Oreochromis niloticus: one gene and its partners. The protein of the gene in region 2 interacts with the protein of the main gene of each other region in a pairwise test. Links are inferred from orthologs where the notes say so. Each region holds a gene or a part of one and is shown on either strand. Other genes may lie near its edges. The genes, in order: trim2a, cib3 and enox2.

Region 1 (7,793 bases), on a different chromosome or scaffold from region 2:
TGCTCTCCAGAAAGCAGTTTTAAGTTTATTTACCTAATTAGTTTAAGCAGACCATCTCTAAGCTCACGTGTTCATTTTAGTTATTAGGCTGGTTCAGGTTCCTCTTACATTGCAGTCTTAAGATCTCCTCCCTTCCTTTCAACCTCCACTCACATCTTGCGTCAGGTGACCTCAATAGGTCACATGATAGGGTGGGGGGGGGGACTGTCCATGACTTGATAAGAAAGACGTATGATGTCATCACTATTGTATCCTATGTATCCTGTATTGTGACTAACAATACCCTTGACCCAAAATATATATGTTTGCAGCCTTAATGCTCATAATGGTATGAATGCCTCTCTGTGCAAATATGTTCAAAGACAGTAAGTAAAAGGTTTTCACATGCACATGCACATATAACTACAATATGCGTTGCCTTTAACTTGTAGTATTACCTCAGAGGTCCTCATTATTTGGAGATGACCAAAAGATAGTGTTAAGTCTTGCATGCTGGATCAGAAACAGATCAGAAGGATTTTTATGACCGATACAAATACCGATATTTGGTAATTTAAAAATTAAATATGTATTGAATCTGGAGAACCTGTTTATAACACATAAACAGATTCTCCAATCATTTGGTACGTGTAATTATTTATTTACTCATTCCCACTCCGCTTGAATCTGCTCGGATTAGCTGTTAGTTGTTGTGTGCGGAAAATTGCAGCATGCCCCCTGGTGGACACACCATGCAACATCAGCACTAATAATAGGCTCACCAACACACTTCATGTACATAATCTATAATGTGTTTGTTTGCCCTTTCAAAAACGATGTCACTCAGAAGTCCTTCGTTCTCCTGTTGATTTGCAGTCACAGAAATGATTCAGATACACTCAGAGCTACTACCGAGTAAAGAGTGACTAAGCTGGTTGTTGTTCTAGCTTAATCACTTAGCTTTAACCACACAGACTCTGAGCTCTGGCAGAGCTCAGAGAGCTGGGTCCATTGATCCTGAGGGGTGACAATGTCACAGTGCAACAGTGCAGAACAGCAAGCCTTCGGGGGTTTTAGTCACTGTACGAGAAAAACATCAATACTAACACCACCAGCCGACATGTAATGGAAAAATATGTCAGTCGATATCAGGGTTATTTGCTGATTGATACTGTAACAAAGCTACATTTGCCTTAATGAGTATCTATGTTGCAAATGATCTTAAAATTTTCTATATATTTATGGCTAAACAGATGTTTTGTCATGTAACTTGCTATTAGGTGTGTGCTACTTTATTGCTTATTCATAGTTTTTTTTCTAAGTAATTTAATAAGTAATAAATAAGTAATTTCTTTGACATGGATGAGAATGAGGGGTGGATTTGAGGGAAAATAAGTGTTTTGCAACTGCTGACACTACACACTGCGTATCAAGACAACGTACCTCAACTATTCTTTAAATATCACGAGTGATTAAACACGTTTATCGACAAAATGCATTTTACATTTCACTAAAGACTGTTCACTTTTTATATGATTAGGCACATAATAATCCCATGAAGAGAAGAATTCACAACAATAATCACAGAGGTTTCAACAAACTATTCATCAGACGTAAGAACACAAAGTCCAGATGACACGTTTCATTTCCCAGTTTACCTTTTCTGGACAGATGAGACTAATGTCAACTTGAATCAAAACGATGAGGTAGGCTCAGAACAGCTCACGATCAGGTGGGATGTGATGGATGGGCACGCGTGGCTTCCGGTGCCACTTAGTCACATGATGGGAAAAAGAAGCTTGAAGATGAATCCCTTCCTTCCAAAACTTCCCGATTAGCACGAGGATGATGCTCCACTGCAGCGGTGGCAGAATTGTGCAGCCCTTACCACACCACTTTCTACTTTTTGTTCCCACAACCATTTACTGCATTGAAGCATCTCTGATGTCACAACAGAAAGAACAGCCCGCCATAGGAAAACTTCTGCTCGGACATCAAAGACTCTGTCGCACAGAGCCAGGATAAGAGAGAGGAGTGGACAGAGAGGGCAGGCTTATGTAATCACACTTTAATCCATGACAATGACATGAATGTGGCTTGCTGATGAGCCATTGAGACAGTCCACTGTGAATAATGATGGCAATGTCGTAGAAACTCCCAAAATTAATGTAAAACCCCATCAGTGTAACAGAGTCAAAGACTTCTCTGGTCACCTTTGATCAAAGGATTCATTTAGTATTCAATTCAAGTTTCTTATATCTGTAAACTGACTGCAGAGGGAGAGCACAAGTCCAAGGGTCACTTATTAGCGTGTTTAATTTCTAAAATCAACACACAGTGTATAAACCGTTCAACCAGGTGTATATGGTGTCAAAATGTCAATTCAAGATTTAGTTATTTCATTTATTCCCTGAAAAATTACTGTTACTGTTTTTATTTAAATAAATCACTAACTCATCCGAATCTGCAGAAATGCTCTCATCTCAGTGTTTTTAATGAATCCTGCTAAAATCAGATGACTTCTCAATGAATCCGACGGTCAGACACGTTTCACTGCAGAAATAACAGCAGCTTGTCACAAGCAGCAGAGAATCAGGTGCAGTGCGGCGACTACAGCGTTACTCATGCCAGACTCTGCGCTGTGACAGCTAAACTTCAAGATCAAGCCTGAAGTTCAAACTGTAAATACTCACAGAGAACTACACGTGCAGACAACACACGCGCTGAAAACGCCAAACAAAATCCCACAATGCCTCGGAACTCATGCGATCCTTCCTCCCCAGCACTCACCACAAGCGCATCAGTGGTTCATTCAAGTTTTCGCAGATTTAAGATGCGGACGTAGGCACGCTGTTGTCCCGCTGCAGACCTGCGCTCTTAAACCAGCAGCTGGACATCTGCACTTTATATGTTTGGATGCATTTCATTTTAACACAGAGATGTGAATCCTCTGAAGCTCTGACTGCGTTAAGCCAAATCCTAAAGCTGGTTCAGACACAGCTGATGTTTTCCACTTACCTAAAGGCAGACTTATCCGCGGAAACTGAGGATGTTTCAAGCAGTTATCGTCATCTGCTGGGATTTTCCCGTTTAAGCTCCCTCCGTCCTCCGCTCCGTGCTGCTCTGCGCTCACACTACAGCTGAACCGAGAGCCACTTCAACTCACTTCCACTTCACTTATTAAAGGGATCCGCTGACAATAAAAGGGAAAGGCAACAGCATCCGGAGGCAGTCTGAACTCATCAATAATGCATTCACGTGTAAAAATAACCGATTGTCAAAGAGTTATTTCTATTTCTGCTTCAGTGTTTGGTACTTCTGTGGCTCACCGAGGAAACTGTTTGTAGTATTTATTGTTGTTTTATCACTTGGGAATCGGGCCTAATACCACAATACATTTAAGAGAAAAGTAGGCTTTCTACATAATTTAAACACACACACACACACACACACACACACACACACACAATAATAAAATAATTATTTTCGTTGCCAAAAGTTGCATGAAGACATTGACTGACCGGGGTTTTAGGGTTATTTAGGTAAGAAATACCAGTGGTTATAGTTTAGTATAAAGTTAGGAAGCACGGGTAAGTTAAAAGCTAACGTAGTTTTGTCATGTGGCAAAAAAAACCCTCCTTACACACTCTCTGAGGCAAACATCTCACATTTAGTAATTTAATATTTAAAGTAACTATGAAAAAATACATTGAAATAAATAAAACAAAGGACAGTTAGCCAAAAAAATTAAACAAACAAACAAACTTTAAATCGTCAGCCGTCCATCAACTGCTAGCTAACATCCGTATTTATTATTGTAGCCTCTTTACAATATAAAGCCTTTGAGTCAGCTGTTGTCATTTGGCACTATATAGATTTTTAATTGAATATTCTATTTATTTATTCATTCATTCAACTTTACAGGTGACCCTATTTTATTTATTCACCAGATAACAGACAAGTGACCACTGGAGCTAAAATATGGAGTGTCATAAACTGCATTTCCTCTAGCGGCCACTTGAGGCTAAATCCATTAGTGAGTCAATCCTATTTTAAAATGCTTAACTTTACAGAATTAAAAAAACAAAAAAACAAACAAGTTTACAGTCTGATACAAAATGGGATTTTGGTCTCTGCGGGTAGCTTCACAAGTCTGCAGAGAAGTGAAGTGATTTTTTTAATAACTGGATTCGGAGCTGGGTATGCAAACACAGACAGCTGTAGGATAGTTTTCTGTGTGAGGAGAACTTTAAGTGAACTTCACAGTGTTTGTGCTGCTGGAGCCATTTGAAGCATTTGTTATAGAATTATCTGACTTATGTCAGGGCTATGTGTGCGCTACAGACCAGCCGCAAAGTTTGATTAAGTTTTAAGGAGTAAAGTTCTGGTATTAGTCTACTCTAAGTGTGGTACTGAACCACTACGGAGGGCCTAGAGTGCCAAAATGAATTCTATTTAATTCATTCATTTCGGCCAACGAGGCCCTCCATAAGTAACCAACTATGTGTCTGTGCATGGCACCTCTGCAGGTCATGGGTGTAGCTTGCTAATTATGCTTGCTAGCTCCTGCTCTCCTTCAAATGTTATCACGTCTGTCACAAAACACTAACGGGCCATTGTTGAGGTTTCGAAATGCAGAGTCCAAAACCAGCAGGCGATATAACAATAGATATGTTCGTGTTAGCTGTCATTTTGTTTTAAATTAGGCTAAGATGGCTTAAACTAAGCTGTCTGTGGGCTAATATTTAACTATACCATGGTTAACTGTCTAGAGTTTTCCCAGCTCTTCATACAATAAGGATAGGCTTGAGCCATGCCTTGACCCTGAACAGGACAAGGGTTTAAGAAATCTAATGGATGGATTTGTATTGGATGTTGTTTTTTTTTATCCAATCAATCAATAAATAGATAAGATTTTTTTTTATTGAGTTAAAAAGAATGTAAGCTGGTCGTATAATTCCAGCTTCTAGTAGGACTCCTGATGGGCGTCCAAGCGCCAGTCGTAATTGTGGTTTCCTGTCAAGCCCCTCCCTTTTTTATGCGGGAGGCTGTTGCATGGCAACTCTACATTATGCAGCCGCCCATGAAAGACTCTTTTCAGATTAAATAGAAAGAAAGAATCGCGTTATTTGCATTCCTTTTCCATTAATGATTGCGTTTGATGCAGGAACAGGCTGTGTAGCGTTTATTGTCTGGTGTGCGTCAGAGGTGGGGGAAGGGTGACGCATCTGAAGGCCTCACTACTATTTTAGAAAACTCAGGCAGTGTGTGTGTGTGTGTGTGTGCCACAGTCAAAGGGCACCTGTTTAGCATGCGATGCACAATCACAGGCCCAGTGCAAAGATTTCCTTTTCTTCTCAGCATCCCACCTCTGTTTCCTCACAGCTAAAGCGGTACAGTGACAGCCTAAAAAGAGTTTTAATAAAGGCTGAAGAGGCACCAGAACACAAAAGCACACCAGTGCATGTAAAATTTCACATTCAGAGTACGTGAGCGAAAGCTCATTAGCATCAGCAGTAACCAGCATTTATTTTTATATTAATTCTTATTTACTTAAATCTACACCAAAAGTACACAAAAGTAAAATAAAGGTGTTAAATGCACATAATGGACTGAAAAAGTCTAACATTAATCTTTAAAGTAAATATTAAGGCGCTGACATGGCCATACAAACATCAAATATTTACGAAAAGTCCAATTACTTCAGAACTTAAACCTTAAAAACACCATGCACTCAGTTCCACGGCTGATTTGCTTTGGTTCTTTCAGTGTTTGGTTTAGAGTCACGACAGCAGCTTGAATTAGTTTTCAAATAACACAACAAGATGTAGCTTGGCATAAAAATGTGAATCGATTGATGTCACCAGAAAAAAAGCTTGATTCATTTTAAAATCAAATCTTCACAGGAGAGCAGAAACAGTAAATAAAGTCCACACTAGAGTGTGGCCATGCTCTGGCAGAGTGCTTTTTATTTTTAGGCCAGACTGGAGTTTTACCATTTGACCATAATTTCATATCACACCGGTCACAGCTGCCCGCACCTGCTGCTGTTATTAGCTCAGTGGAGCATGGCCGGATTAGCAGAGGGCTCTGTGAATGGCTGCTGAATAATTGAACATTTCTTTTGTTTCATTCATGCTGTTTGTTGGAACACATGATTGAGACATTACAAATGCCCAGCGTGAGGCTTTAATTTGGCCATCATTGCAGGTTATTGCAGGCAAATGTACACTGAAGTTACTGCACAGTTACCAGGCAATCTACCGATACTGACAAGACGTACAGTAAGACTAAAGAACAGCAAAATGTTTGTGGTGTAGTAAAACCAAAAGCTTGAAACAGAATACATACACGCACCTATGTTAGGTACCTGTTCTACTGCTTGTTTACACAAATATCTAATCAGACAATCACAGGGCAGCACCTAGACGTGGTAAAGACAACCTGCTGAGGTTCAAACCGAGCCGCAGAACGGGCAAAAAAGGTGATTTAAGTTGCTTTGAATGTGGCACGGTTGTTCACGTCAGATGAGCTGGTCTGCTGAGATTTTCCCACACTGTCATCTCCAAAGCATATCCAGTCAGTAGTCATTCTCTGGGCATAAATGCCTTGTTGATGTGAGAGTTTAGAGAAGGATGGCCAGACTGTGTCAAGCGACTAAGAAGGCACACCTACAGCAGTAGAAGGCCACACCGAGTGCCACTCCTGTCAGCTAGGAACAGGAAACTGAGGCTACAATTCACACCAGAAAAGCGCTTCTTACCAGCTGCTAATCATTTAAACACCACAGCCCACCTGAGTATTGCTGCTAAACATGTCCGATCCAGCCAACACGTCTGCAGCAACTGTGTGATGCTGCAGACATCTTGCACCTTGTTGAATTTATGCCACAAAAGGGAACCCAGTAACATCGAGCTGTACCTAATAAAGTGTCTGGTGAGTGTAAAAGACTGCAATTTAGGGACTAAAGGAGAATTTAAAAAACTGAGTGACTCACAAGGTAATATGGTCCGAATATCACGTTGGTTCATAAACACAAAGATTGTCTTGTCTTATTGCAGCACATCATTTGAAAAGCGTTGAGTAAACTAACACGAGGGAGATGTTTTATATCAGTGAATGAAAAACACCCTCACCTCATGTTTCTGTTCCAGTCTTCTCTCCGGAGCACTTCCTCTCTGTGCTGTGAGGTCAGTCTGGGGGCTTGACTTTCACCACATCTTCATGTAATGAAGATCTGAAGACAGAAGAAAGCCCCACTCAGATCAGCTCTTGACTCTCGCTCGCTCTGTTACCGACTTACTTTTAACCCACTGGTTGTATTTATAGGGTCATTGATTGCTTCACTTATTTTTTTCAAAAATCTGAGCAGTTGCATCCAAACCGGCAGCTAATCTGTGTGCTGTAATCACAGGTAATCCCTGAGGGTGTAGTAAGTATGAGTACATGAGTATGAAACTCCTAGCATGTTGTTATGGGCTGTAGACAGCATTTACAGGCACACGCTTATTTAAAGGTCACAGTGATGGAGGGAGACTAATAAGCAGTGACAGCATGTCCTTTAAAGTGATACAGAGTAAGGTCATCACCAGGGCAGCGTAGTAAAGCTCTGACTTTAATAACACATGACGTTAAAAAAGTAAACTATCAAACCGCAGATGACCCTGCATCAGCTCCAAATTCCCAAAGGTGATTTTCATTTTACAGCTTCATTTGTGGCTTTTGATGCTTAACATCAGAGAAAACTAAATGCAAATATTAAGACTTCATGTTAACTTCTTACTTGCAGAAACAACTGCTGCAGTAAAAATGCA
Region 2 (7,654 bases):
ATCAACAGGTCAAATAATGCATCAGTGAATTATTCAGTTTAAGCCTTTTTGTGTCTTTGTTGGCTGTGAATTGAACATATTTTAGTTTTAGACTAGTCTGGTTGGACAAAAGACAGTTTTTTTTAAATATTGCTTTTGGACAATTGTGACTCAGTAAAGCTGACAACTTAAATTTTTTCATCTTATATTTTGTTAATGTGGCTGAAATATTTAGTGTATGATTAACTTAATGAAGAAAAGCTGTGTTTTCTTATAATCAATCCTTTTCATTATAGTGTAACTATGTTACCCTCTAAGCTTTTATCTTCTTTGTTAGTCTAAATAAGGAATGAAAAGTTCTCTTCACTCATCTTACGTGTGTAGTTTCACAAGTTGTCAACTGTTTTTTTAAACCGAGGCTTTAAGGAGCTGGTATATGATCCTAAACTTTCCATTCACCATCTGCTAGCGATCCATAACCCTTCAGCATGAATATACATTACTGTTGATGATTTCATCATACATTTTTTGCACGATAATCAGTTCAGTTTTACTGACAAACCGCTTCTTTAAATTCTGCAAGTTTCAAGATATGTTTAACTCCAGTCTGCTGTCTGGGATGTTGGAAACCAAACATCTTCTTTCACAACTCAAATCAGTTGCAGAAAATCCAGCAGTATATCTGCATGGCTCTAACATTAAATTTGCCCGTATTCTAACTAATAATAAGCTTAAGTCAATGCTGTTTTCTGCAGATTAACGTATAGCGATTTTGTTTCTATGATTGCCTTTTGCAAACAGATGTAAACGGTGCATGGTTGTTTGTGAAGAGCAGACTTAACATGAAACATTTCCTTATTTGGTGTAAAATGTTAACATTTAAATGTATTTTTTCAGCTTGCAGTGGCAGTAGGAAGGGTTATTCACATACTTTGTTATGTACTGAGTGTAGTGAAGTATGCACAGTATGATTTGTGAAACTGCAAAAACTTAAAAATTGGTTGGAATTAACATTGGTTTTAAAGAAAAAAACAAAAGCAATGACAAGCATCCCTGGTTTATGAAGATATTTTACCATAAATTTTGAAAGCATAGTAGGCCTTGAGGTCCCGTGGAGCCATCTCACTGAGGACAGAAAACATGTCCAAGAAGTCGTCCAGTGTCATATTTCCCTCTCCGTCCTCAGAGAAAACCTCAGCGATCCTCTGTCGAAATGGGTTGTCCTAAACAAACAGGACACCACAGCAGTCTAATAAAGAATCAGAGCGTGAACACACAAACGTTCAGCACAACTAACTTCTGCTTGTTGGATGTGATGGCTTGCAGTTTAGTCCTGTTCTATCAAAACTGTGCTGTTTGTGATTTTAAGTTTTGTTTTTCTGTTTGAAATCCAATAGAATCATAAAATTATCTTTAGTAATCACAACAGCTTGGAATAAGCGGCAACCTCGGGCATGACCCTGATCGTGACTGACTCACTCTCCCTTTCTTGGGGCATGTCAGTGACCAGCTTGTTAACACACCTGTTTACCTTGCTGCCACTGAGTAAAGAGGCATATAATTGACCCATTTCCAAAAAGTGTGTCCTCTGGGACCCACCAACATCCTTCAAGTTTAAAGGAGTCGGGTAACATATAACCGCTCAAAGAATTCTGTCGATTAATTGGTCATTAATTATGGATTGGGAACACAGGGAGAGAGCGCAGGTCTGCAGGGCGTGTAGTGCAGTGGGACTACCTTCAGCTCTGGCATGCTGCCAATCAGCTCATATGGTAACTTCACATCTGGGTGGTTGGTGTAGTCAAGAGGAACGAGCTGCGGTGCCAAATCCCGATAGCGGTAGAAGAGTCTAGGAAAGGTTTAAAAAATTTACTATCAATATTGAATTACAAGATATGTCCTATAATATGTAGAGTTGGACTTTGAAGGGACAAGTTAGAAAGGAAAAGTTAAGTTAAGAATTTGCTTTTCAGCTACGGACACTATTTTGAAAATGGAAAACATTCAAAACTTACACACTTTCCAGCACAGTAAAAATAGCCTGTGATCTCAGTGGCAGTCTGCCCCACATCAAGACAGGTGTCCTGATAGTCTAGTTTAGAGTTACAGTATGGTATTGTGCAGAATAGAACAAAATTCAGCTCTGTCAAGCATGCTACATAAGCAATGACTCAGGAGATTAATGAGATCTAACACAACTTATCCTGAGTACATGTTTAGTTATCTAGGTTTGATCTTTTCTGCACTGGAGGGATGTCATAAAGCAGGAAGTATAAACAAAATAACTGAAGTAATGTAGGCTCACCTCAGAATTTCCTTTCTTGTGAAATATGTACAGTCCTGTAAATACAATTTAAATTCAATGTAAGCTGTTTACATACAGTGATGTGTATAATATTTACTCAGTAATAGCAATACATCAATAAAAAACACTTATTTTACACAATTTTATGCATTTTGTAATTATAACAGTAGAGTTGGTAAAGTACAGAAGTAAATTTTTGGAAGCAAATTATCAATTGCTTACAGCACAGGCAAAGTGATCTACTATTATTATTATTATTGTTATGTATCAGCATGTTATGGTGATGTTGTGGTTGATCAAAGCAGTGAAGTTCAATACTTTTTTTAATGGCAATTATTTTTGTGTAAATATTCATTTAAAGCACACAAAGTTTCTCCATTAAAGGAGCACCAAAAATCAAATGAAATACTTTGTTTATAAATACTTTACTTACCATTTACCATTTATTTACCATATGACATCTCTAACTTTGCACCTCAAATTACTTCTTAGAGTTTTTTTCCATCAATAATGATGCAAGTCAAAAGCAAAGCAAAGGAAGTGCTGCACCACATGGGGTAGGATCCTTTTCTTTTTTGCTAATAGTATGAAGAGGTCTGATTAATCTTGTTCGTAGATGTTAAGCTAATACTGATAACGGTATCTCCATTCATTCTCAGTGAGCCTTATCAATTAATTCATAAAGAAACAGGAGTGATACCAACCTGATAGGCATCTAGCTGCTGTGCCGTAAAGATGGTTTGTTTATTTCCCATGTCTGAGCGCAGAAACACAGAGTCTCAGGTCCATCGCTGCTCCAGCATCAAGTCCTTTTTTAAAGTGGGTATGCTAGTTATGAAATACTCTGACAAAGGGAAGCCAGAGCCAAAGAGGAGATCAGGTGTCTGGCTGCACCAGGGCCCTTTGGTCCCCACTATAATGGAGGCATTTCATCGTTTTCTCCATTGTGAATAGAAACCCCTTTGACAGTGAATAAGGGCTGTCGTCCAGCATCATGCCAAGTGGTATCAACCCCCTTTGGTGGCACTCTATGGCCAACGCCTTGTTCACCGCTCAGGTTACACTCTTTAGAGACAGGGTTTTGTAGTGGGCAAATAGAGTTTTTGATGGGAGACAAGTTTTGTTTCAGTTGAGAACTTAATTGCTGTATCGATAGATAGATAGATAGATAGATAGATAGATAGATAGATAGATAGATAGATAGATAGATAGATAGATAGATAGATAGATAGATAGATAGATAGATAGATAGATAGATAGATAGATAGATAGATAGATAGATAGATAGAAAGAAAGTTGTGAAGTGTTTTAGCTTTTAAGTGTTACAGAGCTCACTTAAAACTGAACTTGTGTTGACTTGTATGCACACAAAATGAGTGCAGAAACACCTTGAGGCACAGACATAAAACTTCCCTTTGATCCTGCAATTATGATTTATAATAGCAGGTGTACAGTATCAACTTTACCTCACTCTATTCCAGGTAGGATGAGTAATAAGGATGAAACTTACCAGAACAACCAGTGATTGCAGTCATAAAAATAAAGGCTCAATAAAGGTTAAACCTTTTGGGTCATATATTTTATTTTGAAAAATCCACATCTGTCTGCAACAACCCGAGATTCTTTGGTCCCGTTAAAGACCCCAAAGAACAATTTCAATGATGCTTCTATTATAGAAAATATTGTGTTTTTTGTCTTCCATACCACATGATTCACCACATCATAATTCATGTCAGACACCAATGCTTATGATGCACGGCATAAACACCTATGAGCTGTTAAAAGACATTAAATGAACAGAGACATTACATCAGTCTAATTCTTGGAAAGCTTCCTAACACTTTGACTTTAGCTTGTGATGCGTTTTATACGAGGTCACAGAGAGCTGTGCCATCTTACAGCTGAACACATACCTTACTGTACTGATGGGGCATCTTTAAAGGACTCTCTATTTATAGTCCAGCATATTCTGTCTTTTTTCTAATGCTCCTATTTCATGAGCATCTTTTTCTCCAGCAGCAGAAAGCTCTGGTAGTTTTGTCTATGTGTCCAAAGGCATGCACGTTAGTTTAACTGGTGATTCTAAATTAGCAGTAGGTGTGGATGCAAGGTAGATAAAGCAGAATAACAATGTGGTGTGAAAAAACTCACTGTGGCTTTTAGTGGAAACTGTTTTGAGTGGTCAGTAAGGCTTAAAAAAAAGCACCTTTCTGTTTGCCTTTGTTCCGTGCTCTAAGGATTTATATTCCCGGATTGATTCTTGCTATACTCTATGGAGAGAGAGTTAACAAGATAAATCTGAGGGCTCAAAGCAATGAGAGGAACATCTAAACTAGTGAAGAATAACTGGGTGGCAAGAGGAATTTATTTAAATCAACAGTTAATTTACTGACATTAACAACAAAAGTCAAGGACACTGCAACTCATGAGAATTACTGTTTGCAGAGGAAAATGGTTTAACTGTAAATGTGTGAATACTTTTTAAAATCATCATATAACAACATATAACATTTTGCTGTTACATCACATTTGATAAGCTATTAATTTATTTGTTTAGTCATATTATATTACCACTGTATTTACCTAAGACATTGTGTTCTATGTTTGCTGTTTAACTAAGATTTACTTTCACCCTTAAAAACTTAATCTTAACCATAACCAGTATAGTTATTATAACCATTGTAAATATATAATTGATTCCAAAACAAACCAAACAACAGGGACTATGATAGACATTATAACCTTCCCAATAAGGGCTTTTATTACAAGACTGTGGAGAAGTATAGCTAAATGTATGTTTTTCTTTTAGATTCAAATACATACTCTTATTTCAGGAATGTCTTTTGTTAAGAGGATGGTTTGTAGGAGGATGGCCTTTTGTGCTCACTGGACCCAATTCTTACCTAATCGGGGAAACCCCTTTGGACATCAGTGCCCTCTAGTGGTGAAAAGGAAGATGTCCAGTAGGCTAGTGGAGGCCTCTTGTTTGTAAAGTTAGTATTCAAACAGCCTGAATATACTCAGTGCAGATGAATGACATAAGATAAGATGCCTTCACTGTCATTACATACAGTGATACATTAATATTGCAAGTGGTGGTATAGTGCCATAAAAAATGCATTACATGCATCCATGTATACATAATAACGCGATCGTAACATGAACTATTTAGCGATACTGAATTCTGATGAGCCTGATCTAGCACAACGTTAGGGATTACTTTTCTCAAAAAGAGGAGCCAGAGAAACACTTCTGAAAGGCAAAAGACGAGCTTTAATACAGATTTTTGAAAACTTATAAAAGTCCACAGAGCTGGAAAACATGGGGTGGAAATAAAGGAAGCTTAAAGTAACTGGAGACACACAAAAAAGACTCATCACAAAAAAAACAGGAAGTATTAGAAACATAAAATAAATATAGACATGAGCAAGGGAAGGCAAGGCAGGAGAGAAAGGTGAACGCTAAGAAACAAGAAATTACATCCATTGTAATCATAGCAGGTCAACAAGTTAAATTTATACTTTACAAAAAGGTTACAAGCCTTTTTTTCATATTTCATTTGTTAGAGTTTTTGTTTTTTGGTGGTTGGTTTGAATTGTGAAGCTTTGTTAAGCCTCACAACTGATGCATCAGACTGATGCAAGGGCCAATAAACAAGACTTTCATTTACAATATTTATTCAAATATATCCCAACACAAAACATAAAAAATACAGATTTACAAATTTATTTAACATTCCTTTGATTATTTAATATCATTTCAATTACTTTCATATATTATAATTTATCATTATTTACATATACTACAGTGTCACATGTAGGACTGGGCACATGATAGTTGCAGTCAAAGTTTCCAGGGTCAGCTGACCAAGCTCTATTTACAATGTTTACAGTTTTTAATCTTCGCAGCCCGATACCAGTGACTAGTTAACGTTAGTGGCACCCACAGCTTCCAGCCACCATGTCATTGTACTGTTTTAAAACCACGTTCTCATCATCATCAAAGAAGAGCAAGTTGATGGAAAAGAGCTTGTCGGGCACACAGCACGGCGTCTCAATGCCTTTCACCAGCTTCAAGGCATTGATGATGGACTGGACAGTGGCGTGGTTGGTTGGTTTCATGGTCTGACCCAGAGGAAAGGGGCAGGAGCCTTTGCAATAGTAAGCGTTGTACCCCTTTGGTGATACGATCCAGCCCGACCAGCCGATCTCCTCGAAGTCTACGTTGAGGGGAAACCGCTGGCAGTGCGTGGTTGCACCATCTGCATCGTAGCCCAGAGATCGAGCACTACGGGAAGGTGGACCGGACATGGGAGTCTGGGGCAGGTTGGAAGTTTCTGCTGTATCATCTGAATCTGGAGAAAGAAATCCACTGTTTTAAAAATGCAATGTTTGAACTGTTACTAAGTACATTCCATAAACAGAAGAGGAAGCAGTGATGGACAAGTAGATCTAGAAGTTTGAATGTAGAGTGCAAAGAAATATAACATCTAAAGCCCTTAAGTGGGACACACAAAACACTGAAAGCTTCATTTTTCATCAAGCTGTTGAATTGTAAGCATACTCCCAGTCAGTCACAGGCCAGTCGTACGTGAGTGTTTCCTTCATAAGCATGCAAAATACTGGTTGCACATGTGGATGGAAATATTGTCAGCACTGACCTCAGTGAACATTTAGTTCACTCTTCCATTAAAACTAAAACTAAGGCTGCTGTGCTTATGAATATAGAGACTGGAGGCTGGTTTCCCTTTAACCACTTTAAATCTTATCTACAAGGCTGCTATCTTCACTTTTAATTAATATCACTGGGAGTAACTGACATTAAAGTAGAAATCTCACCTTTGCTCGCAAGAGGATTAGAGTAGCGGCCATCATCAGTAAAGAGAACCAGCATGGGCTGTTTGCTGTGATGGTGGTGGCGCCCTGAGGCAAAGCGGATCAGTTTTTTATCCATTTGGCTCCCTCCCAGTGTCCGAACCACCACTTGAAGTCCCAGGTTGGTGCCCTCATCAACCATCCGGGAGCGCACCTTCAGAAGGAAAGGTCATCGGTTTATTTCAGCACTCTCCACTGTCCAGTGTAGCTCAAAGCAGATATTTGTGGGCTTTAAAGAGTCGGTGATACTTACTGCGTGTGTGATTGTGAAGACTTCCCAACCAGAGGAGTGCACTGGGATGAGTCGAGAGGAAAGCAGCTTCTTCTGCGTAAAATTGGTTGTGCTGGAGTCAAGCAGCTGATAAACACTGACCTGAAAGAGCCAAATTAATGTAGACAGAATTAGAAACAGCCATTCAGCCACTCAGGTTTAAATACCGGTCTACAGCTGGTCTACATACCTGGCTGAAGTGATGTCTGTTTAACGTCAAGGGTG
Region 3 (6,912 bases), on a different chromosome or scaffold from region 2:
GCCAAGCAATCCGGGCTAGCCTTTAGCCTCGGCGATCGTAGCTGGAAACACAGTTTTCCACGGTGGTGCGACCGTTGAAACAAAAAGTCACTTCACCCACACTCTGTTGCGAAGCTCCCACACGGTTAGCTTTCTAGTTACACACTCTTTTGTGCTAGTTAACCTCAGTAAAACTAGCCGAGTCTCTCACTTTGGTTCAGCTAACCTCGTGCATCTCTCCATGCCGTTCTCTTCTCCTCCTCCATTGCAACAGATACACAGGTCCCGTTTTATGCTACCTTCACGGGCCTCCAGAAAATTAGAACTCTGAACAATATTTTAACTCCCTTCAGAGTTACATACCATAAAATAATACTTTATGATTAACATAACAGTTTGATTGCTCTAATTACCTGTATTTACCTTGTGACATATTACAGGGCAAATTAAATTCAGGGTACAGTTACATCACATAACTGTGAACACCTTATGTTACCGTGGCGTTCAAGTCCATGGGAATTATGAGTATCTACACCCAAATTCGGGCTACATTAGTATCGGTTCATGGTATCGGTTAACTTTTACGAGTACGAGTACGCACACATTTTACAGTATCGGCCCCGATACCCGATACCAGTATCGGTATCGGTGCATCCCTAAAAGAAATGCACCTCAACATGAACCTCTGGAAATTAATGTATTTGTAGAGCCTTCTCAGGTAATGATCCTCCATATTTTTAGAGACAACCTCACCACTTACGAGCAATACCTGGCCACTTAAGATAAATACAACAACGTTGATTCTGATATTCCATTTCAATCACACAGCGGACATAAAGCTGTTTTGCTGCATAGTGCCCACACTGGTTTCCTTAATTTCTACTGCCAAAGAACAGCTGTTTGCTTTCCACCCATTTTCTATAAGTTGGCTTATAGATCAGCTGCCAAGTTAAACTGTTATTATCCCAAGGCTTTAAAGCACAGAGCAACAGCAAAGGAATATAAGGAAATAATACAAAATTTAAAAAGACCACAAGGACTAGTAATGGTCGCAATATAGCCTTTTATAGGAATTTGGCTGCATCACAATTACTGATTATGGATAACCATGACAATAATACATCTGCAATTCTTCATTCTGTACAGTTTCATTGGTACAGTTGTGGCTGCACTTTTTCACCACCTGCTTGCAATGAATGTATTCAATGTATTGCAGAGAGAGTACTAACTCGGACTGAAAAGAGAGACCATATTTTTCCTATATGAGCTTCTCTTCATTGACTCTCTGTTAAATCCAGAACTGAATTCAAAATCTTTCTCCTCACATACAAAATCTTGATTAATCAGGCCCCATCATACCTCGAAGACTTCATAGTACCTTATTATCCTAAGAGAGCACTTCATTTTCAGACTGCAGGCTTACTTTTGGTTCACAGTTTTAGAAAGTAGAATGAGAAACAGAGCGGTCAGCCACCAGGCCCCTCTCATGTGAAACCTGGTTTGAATTCAGGAGACAGACACTTTCCTTTATGATAAATCTTATAGCCAGGGCTTGATCAGGTGACCCTGAACCCTCCCTTAGTTATGCTGCATTAGAGTGCTGGAGTGCCTCCCATAATGTATTGAACATTTCTTTAGTCTTCTTTTTTGTTTCACATTTCACTTTCTATGTGTTTATATACCACTGCTGCGTTTAATCATTGCTAATTATTACTAAGCTCCGGCTCTCTCTTTGCCTTTTGTCCTGTCTTTCTATGCTCTCTCATCTTTCTCCTCAACCCCAAAACACCCAAAGCAAAATGGCTGCCTCACCCTCTGTCTGGTTCTGCTGAAGGTTTCTTCCTGTTAAAAGGACCCAACTTTAACTGTTCTTCTTTTTTTTTTTTTTCCTTCTCACTGTCACCAAGTGTGTGCTCATAGGGGGGCGTCTGATTAGGGTTTCTTTCAAATATTGTCGGGTCTTAACTCTACAATATAAAGCACCTTGAGGTGAGTGTTCAGAACTGGTGCTATAGAAATAATACGTAATTGAAACGAATAAAGAACCAAGCAATGTTAGTTAATTTTAGGGCCAAACAAGGATCAGACAAATCTTAATGAAACCTTACTCAAGCAACACGCCAATCAAACTTCCCATGCTTTTCCAAAATTAAAGTTGCTTTAGCAATGGTGGCATTTAACACAAAAACACTTCAATCTAAGTACTTACTATCGTAATCAAGTATGCCCAGTATTTTATTGTGGGACAGTTTTGCTTTAATTTACGGTGACAAAAGATGAGGTAGAAAATCAGTAAAGAAAACCGGTAACAAACAGCAAGTCTCCCTACCTGCAGGCTTTTGCTAAAGCCTGCACTGGCTGCTGCAATAAACTGTTCTCTGCACCCAAAATAACTTCCTGAGCACCGCTGCAAATCACAGTAAATGGTTTTGACTATTACAAGACTATTATTCGCTCCGCCTCTAGCGTTTATTTGGCGTGGAGAGGAACATTTTTACGGCGCACGCTTTGCGGTCAGAACTCAGCAGCAGTATGACTGACTCGTATTTCACTGTGAAACAGACTTAGCGGTTGGACTTCCCGTGCTGATGCTCCAAAGACGCTTTAAAACATTACGCTTCCACACAGCTCGATTAAACACCAAGTCAACCCAGTTCATAAGTGGCAAAGTCAGCCAACTTAACGAGTTTACTCTACCATTTTGAAACAAAAGCATGGCTTCAGATAATAAAGTGCTCTGTGCGCTTCAAAACACATTATGTGCTTCGCTGTGAACTTCCAAAACAGAAGCTAACACGAACTACTGATGTCGGAAGTTAGCACCGGTGAAGTGAAAGAGAAAATGAGGGAGAAAGTATAAAGTACCTGTCTAAGGCGTTTGTCCTCTTCCATGCTTTCTGTGTTGTCGAAAAGCTTCCTATAAAGCCATGGAAGGCTTGGAAGTTTCTTTCTTTCGCTGTTGTTGAGTTGGTAACCAGGAAAGCCTCTGGTTAGCAACGAGACCTGTCAAACAATGGCGGAGCCAAGTACGGCAAGCGGGAGGTTTGACACGTGCTTTTCGTTGACGTTTAGTGTTTTGGAAGGTTTCGTTTTGCAGCTGAGCGTCAGGGGAGAGTGTCCCGTCAAAATAAGAGCACACCAAAGACTTTAAACTGTTAAAAGGAACCAGCATTGTAATATAATGTTCTTTTGGCGAGTTAAGCTTTCCTTCAAAACTGTTTTTAAAAGTAAAGACGTATTTAGGCCTAGATTGTCCTTTAAAACAAACAAACAAACAAACAAATAAATCAATAAATACTTTTTTTTTAATCCTTTAAAAATCAGAATTGAGCTTAATAAGTTCCTGACCATTAAGTTCATGATAATCACTCTCATTCTAAATAGTTATATTAATTTAAACAACTTTGGAAATCTACTTTGTTCAACTTTCAGTAGTCATACGTGTTTTTAATTTCAGTATTTATTGTCAGATGTTTACTCAGATACAATATTCATATGAAAATTTTAAAATAATATCAGTAACATTATAGGGGAGCACAAGGCTATGACATAAATGTGTAATATATAATAATATAATAAGATTAATAATATTCCATATGTTCTCAACATGTGTTTGTAGTGGTTGCTTGCTCCATATACATACATACATATATAACAAAACCAACCAAAAAGTAGATTCATAACGTATTTTAATTTGAAATGCATTTAGTCAAGAATTTGGAACAAGAGAAAAATTGCACTTTTTTTCTTTTTTAAAAAATGTATTTATTTGAAATGATATTTTGTAACCACGTTTTCAGCAACTAGGTTTCCATCTTGGTCCGTCTTGTCCTACGATAAGTGCAATTTATCTTAGTATTTTGCTCACAGATTATTTTTCAGATTTATGGGGGGGGGGACAGAAAATGTACTGAAGCTGTAGAATGGGCCTTAGATTTTCACTAACATGGCCTGCATTTTCTAATTATATTTGCTTGGGAGTTTAACCACGCGAAGAGGAGTTCACATAAACAGAACTAGAATGCAATCATATGGCTTTAATTATTGTCTAACAGAATTGCACCTGGCAGATTAGAAAATGCTTTAAAGCAACATTTTGACAACAATAGGACAATCGTTTGTTGTTGCAGACTTTTTTGTTCTTGACTTAATTCTTAAATATGCAAATGAATTATTTAAAAGTACTCATCAAATGGATTATAATATTGCTTATTATTAGATGGCAATTCTATTTGTGCTTTAGCATATGTTTTATGTATTTGTTCAGTAATAGGGGATAAGAATATGCAAATAGCTGGATTCTTATCAATAGGTTATGCCTATTGCATACTGTGCTGTGATCCAGGCTGCATTGACATGCGTATATAAATTATTTCAAGGCAGAATTTCAAGAATCCCATACAGCTTTTTCTTTGTTATATAGAGCTTCAAGCTATCAAAGTCTAGATGTATTATATATTTATTATTCAGGCAGTGTTCCCAGAACCTCCAGAAAAGGATTGATGGACTGAATTTTTGTCTTCGTTTTATGTCTTGGATGGATTTTCTTTTAATTAGGCAAAAATATGTATAATTCTAACCTCCTAAAGTTGGGTCCACAAATCTTTTTTATCTGTTCCTTTTTATTTTAAAGACAGATCTGTCCGTCTGGTGCATTTATCAGAAGTCGTTATCATCTCCTTAAGCTGCTGTTATTCATTTGTGGCTACTTAATAGATCCACTTTAAATTCCAATTCAAATTAATACCCAACCATTATGCAGATGGGTTTGATGAAATTTAAAGTTGAATGAGTTATCCTTGCAGAGGCCAGTTATTCTCTGGAATTAGAACGAATATGTGTCCACAGAATATGTGTAGCCAGCTCTGCCACATTTACTTATTCAAAAAATCCTGAAGCATACATAAAAGTCTGTTTTTGCAAAAACAAAAACTGGAAGCGAAGTGGTCAAAAGCAAGCACATTTACTGAGTTATGTGGTACATTAGCTGAGTAATTCCATTCTATATTATAATCAAGCATTTTTAATACAATAAACAAACTTTATTAATTCGAGTTATACCCGTGCTTCACAGTTTCTAAGGGTTGCCGGGGACTCCTTGTGATGTTTAGGATGTCTTTATGTTTTCATGATTTCCTCCGTGTGATTTCACCTTTAATTTTCTATTGTGCAAAGAAGTAACACTGTAAATAAATAAATAACTCATTAGTCCACACACAGAATACAAATGTGTATAGCAGAACTTTATTGTAATTTTTCTTATCAGTTATATCATCTTATGACCCCTTGAAAATGTACAATGACCCTTTAGAAAAACTAAACCCTTTGGCTGTGCCACTGGATTAAACTGGACCCAATACAGGTGTACTTTGTTTTTCACAGGACTGCATGAAGTCGTGAAATTTTTTTTTTTTCATATGACAGCACTATGCGTCTCAAACTGAACACTTTGATGTTAAATAGACTATTTCTACATAGATGTATTGGCCCTTTTCAGTAAGTCACATCATTATTTTCTCCACCAAATCCAAACTTTCCTCTCTAAGCTACTGTGAATGACAAGCTGGACTCTAAGCATTCTGGTTTGTCACAGGTTTATTTGCTGTCATCGTTTCTCATTTTGTCCTTGTGGTATCTGAGCCTGGGATTTGCAAGGCTTACTTTGTCTTCATCCTAATCTTTAACAACAAAAAAAGCTCAAAGCTGATTCTTGTCACTTGCACACCACTTAAAGTGCACCCTCATTGAAAGATGACAGAGTTATCTGCTAAATGTCTCGATTTAATCTTCCGAAAGCAGAGAAATGGACAAGTCACTTTAAAGTCTCTAATACCACCTTTCTTTTGATTAAGCAAATTATTTCATTTTGTGTGCAATTTCACTTTGCTCTCAGCTGTATTTCATGCCATCTCCTACTCCACAGCTTATTGTTACTGTTGTAGTGGCTAAGCTCTTTCAGAGATGCTGGGGCATGAACAAAGCCAGTGATATCTAGTGAATTCTCATTACAAGGGGATTATTATATGTGCCAGCATGCATTTCACTCCCACATCATTACGTGTTTTGGACAATTTAATGCCAATTACTCCATTGCTAATGCTTTTTTGCACCCACCCTTTCCCCTTAGGCTCATGGTGAAATTTGACATGTTTTGACAACTTAGTATGAATTCATCTTGCTTGGTTTGTTTGCATGAGATTGCACTACCTGGTAATCACTATTTGCTCTCCATCTGATGTCTGTTGCTCCAGTGTGATGTGGCATGAATACTTATCATAGCTCTCTATGTCACATATGCGCCAGTTAAAGGGGGGAGTACGGCAAAGTGCAAATACTGATCCGAGGGACCTATTAATGTTTAATGATCCATTAATATTCCCAAATGAGGAATACTCCCTGTTAACATGTCACTCCCAGCTGGAGAGAGGGGCTGTTACCTGGTTCCCAGTAGGTTGGTTCAATTAGACACTGCAGCACAGCGTCAGCTGCACAACATAAGGCTGTACTTCTTGTGCATTACACATATAGCTTTGTTTGTTTTCACTGTACTTCGTGCAGTCACTATTGTAAGTTTGTTGTCTTATTCGTAGACATTTGGGGAGTTGTTCCAAGAGTTTCTTCTGATTTTGTTATATATATATATATATATATAAATAAAAAAAAAAAATCAAGGACGCCTTACATGAGTTTTTTCTCCTTTTGTTTAGTATTTTTTTGACCACATTCATTCATCAGGTCTTGGTGGATTTCAGATTTTGTTAAAAGGTTCTAATGCTTTTTGCAGCTTAAGCTACTGAATTTTCATCATTAATCAATATTTTCTTTCCTTACACGACAGAAAGAAATGACCCAGTACACAAATTGGCTTTGCTGCTTTTGATTTCAACATGATGGAAATACATTCTCCTTAACACTTTCAGAGGTGAAAGTGGA

What was found.
Region 1: the proteins of cib3 (region 2) and trim2a interact in binary tests that used the Homo sapiens proteins (3 or more experiments, as listed by UniProt). The two-hybrid records come from large-scale screens. The link is inferred for Oreochromis niloticus from reciprocal best matches to the Homo sapiens genes CIB3 and TRIM2.
Region 3: the proteins of cib3 (region 2) and enox2 interact in binary tests that used the Homo sapiens proteins (3 or more experiments, as listed by UniProt). The two-hybrid records come from large-scale screens. The link is inferred for Oreochromis niloticus from reciprocal best matches to the Homo sapiens genes CIB3 and ENOX2.

Annotation. Positions count from the first base shown.
Region 1 is NC_031971.2:13,887,842-13,895,634, forward strand, and holds the start of trim2a (tripartite motif-containing protein 2), read right to left. Parts: upstream 3,103-7,793; 5' UTR 2,998-3,102; intron 1-2,997. UniProt on the Homo sapiens protein: UBE2D1-dependent E3 ubiquitin-protein ligase that mediates the ubiquitination of NEFL and of phosphorylated BCL2L11. Plays a neuroprotective function. May play a role in neuronal rapid ischemic tolerance.
Region 2 is NC_031982.2:23,282,866-23,290,519, forward strand, and holds the start of cib3 (calcium and integrin-binding family member 3), read right to left. Parts: upstream 3,085-7,654; 5' UTR 3,040-3,084; coding exon 2,989-3,039; intron 2,320-2,988; coding exon 2,285-2,319; intron 1,829-2,284; coding exon 1,717-1,828; intron 1,203-1,716; coding exon 1,055-1,202; intron 1-1,054. Other genes in the region: admp (anti-dorsalizing morphogenic protein), read right to left, coding at 6,217-6,638, 7,123-7,312, 7,412-7,531, 7,620-7,654. UniProt on the Homo sapiens protein: Acts a an auxiliary subunit of the sensory mechanoelectrical transduction (MET) channel in hair cells. Plays a role in regulating hair cell MET channel localization and function.
Region 3 is NC_031966.2:17,190,711-17,197,622, reverse strand, and holds the start of enox2 (ecto-NOX disulfide-thiol exchanger 2), read right to left. Parts: upstream 3,025-6,912; 5' UTR 2,845-3,024; intron 1-2,844. UniProt on the Homo sapiens protein: May be involved in cell growth. Probably acts as a terminal oxidase of plasma electron transport from cytosolic NAD(P)H via hydroquinones to acceptors at the cell surface.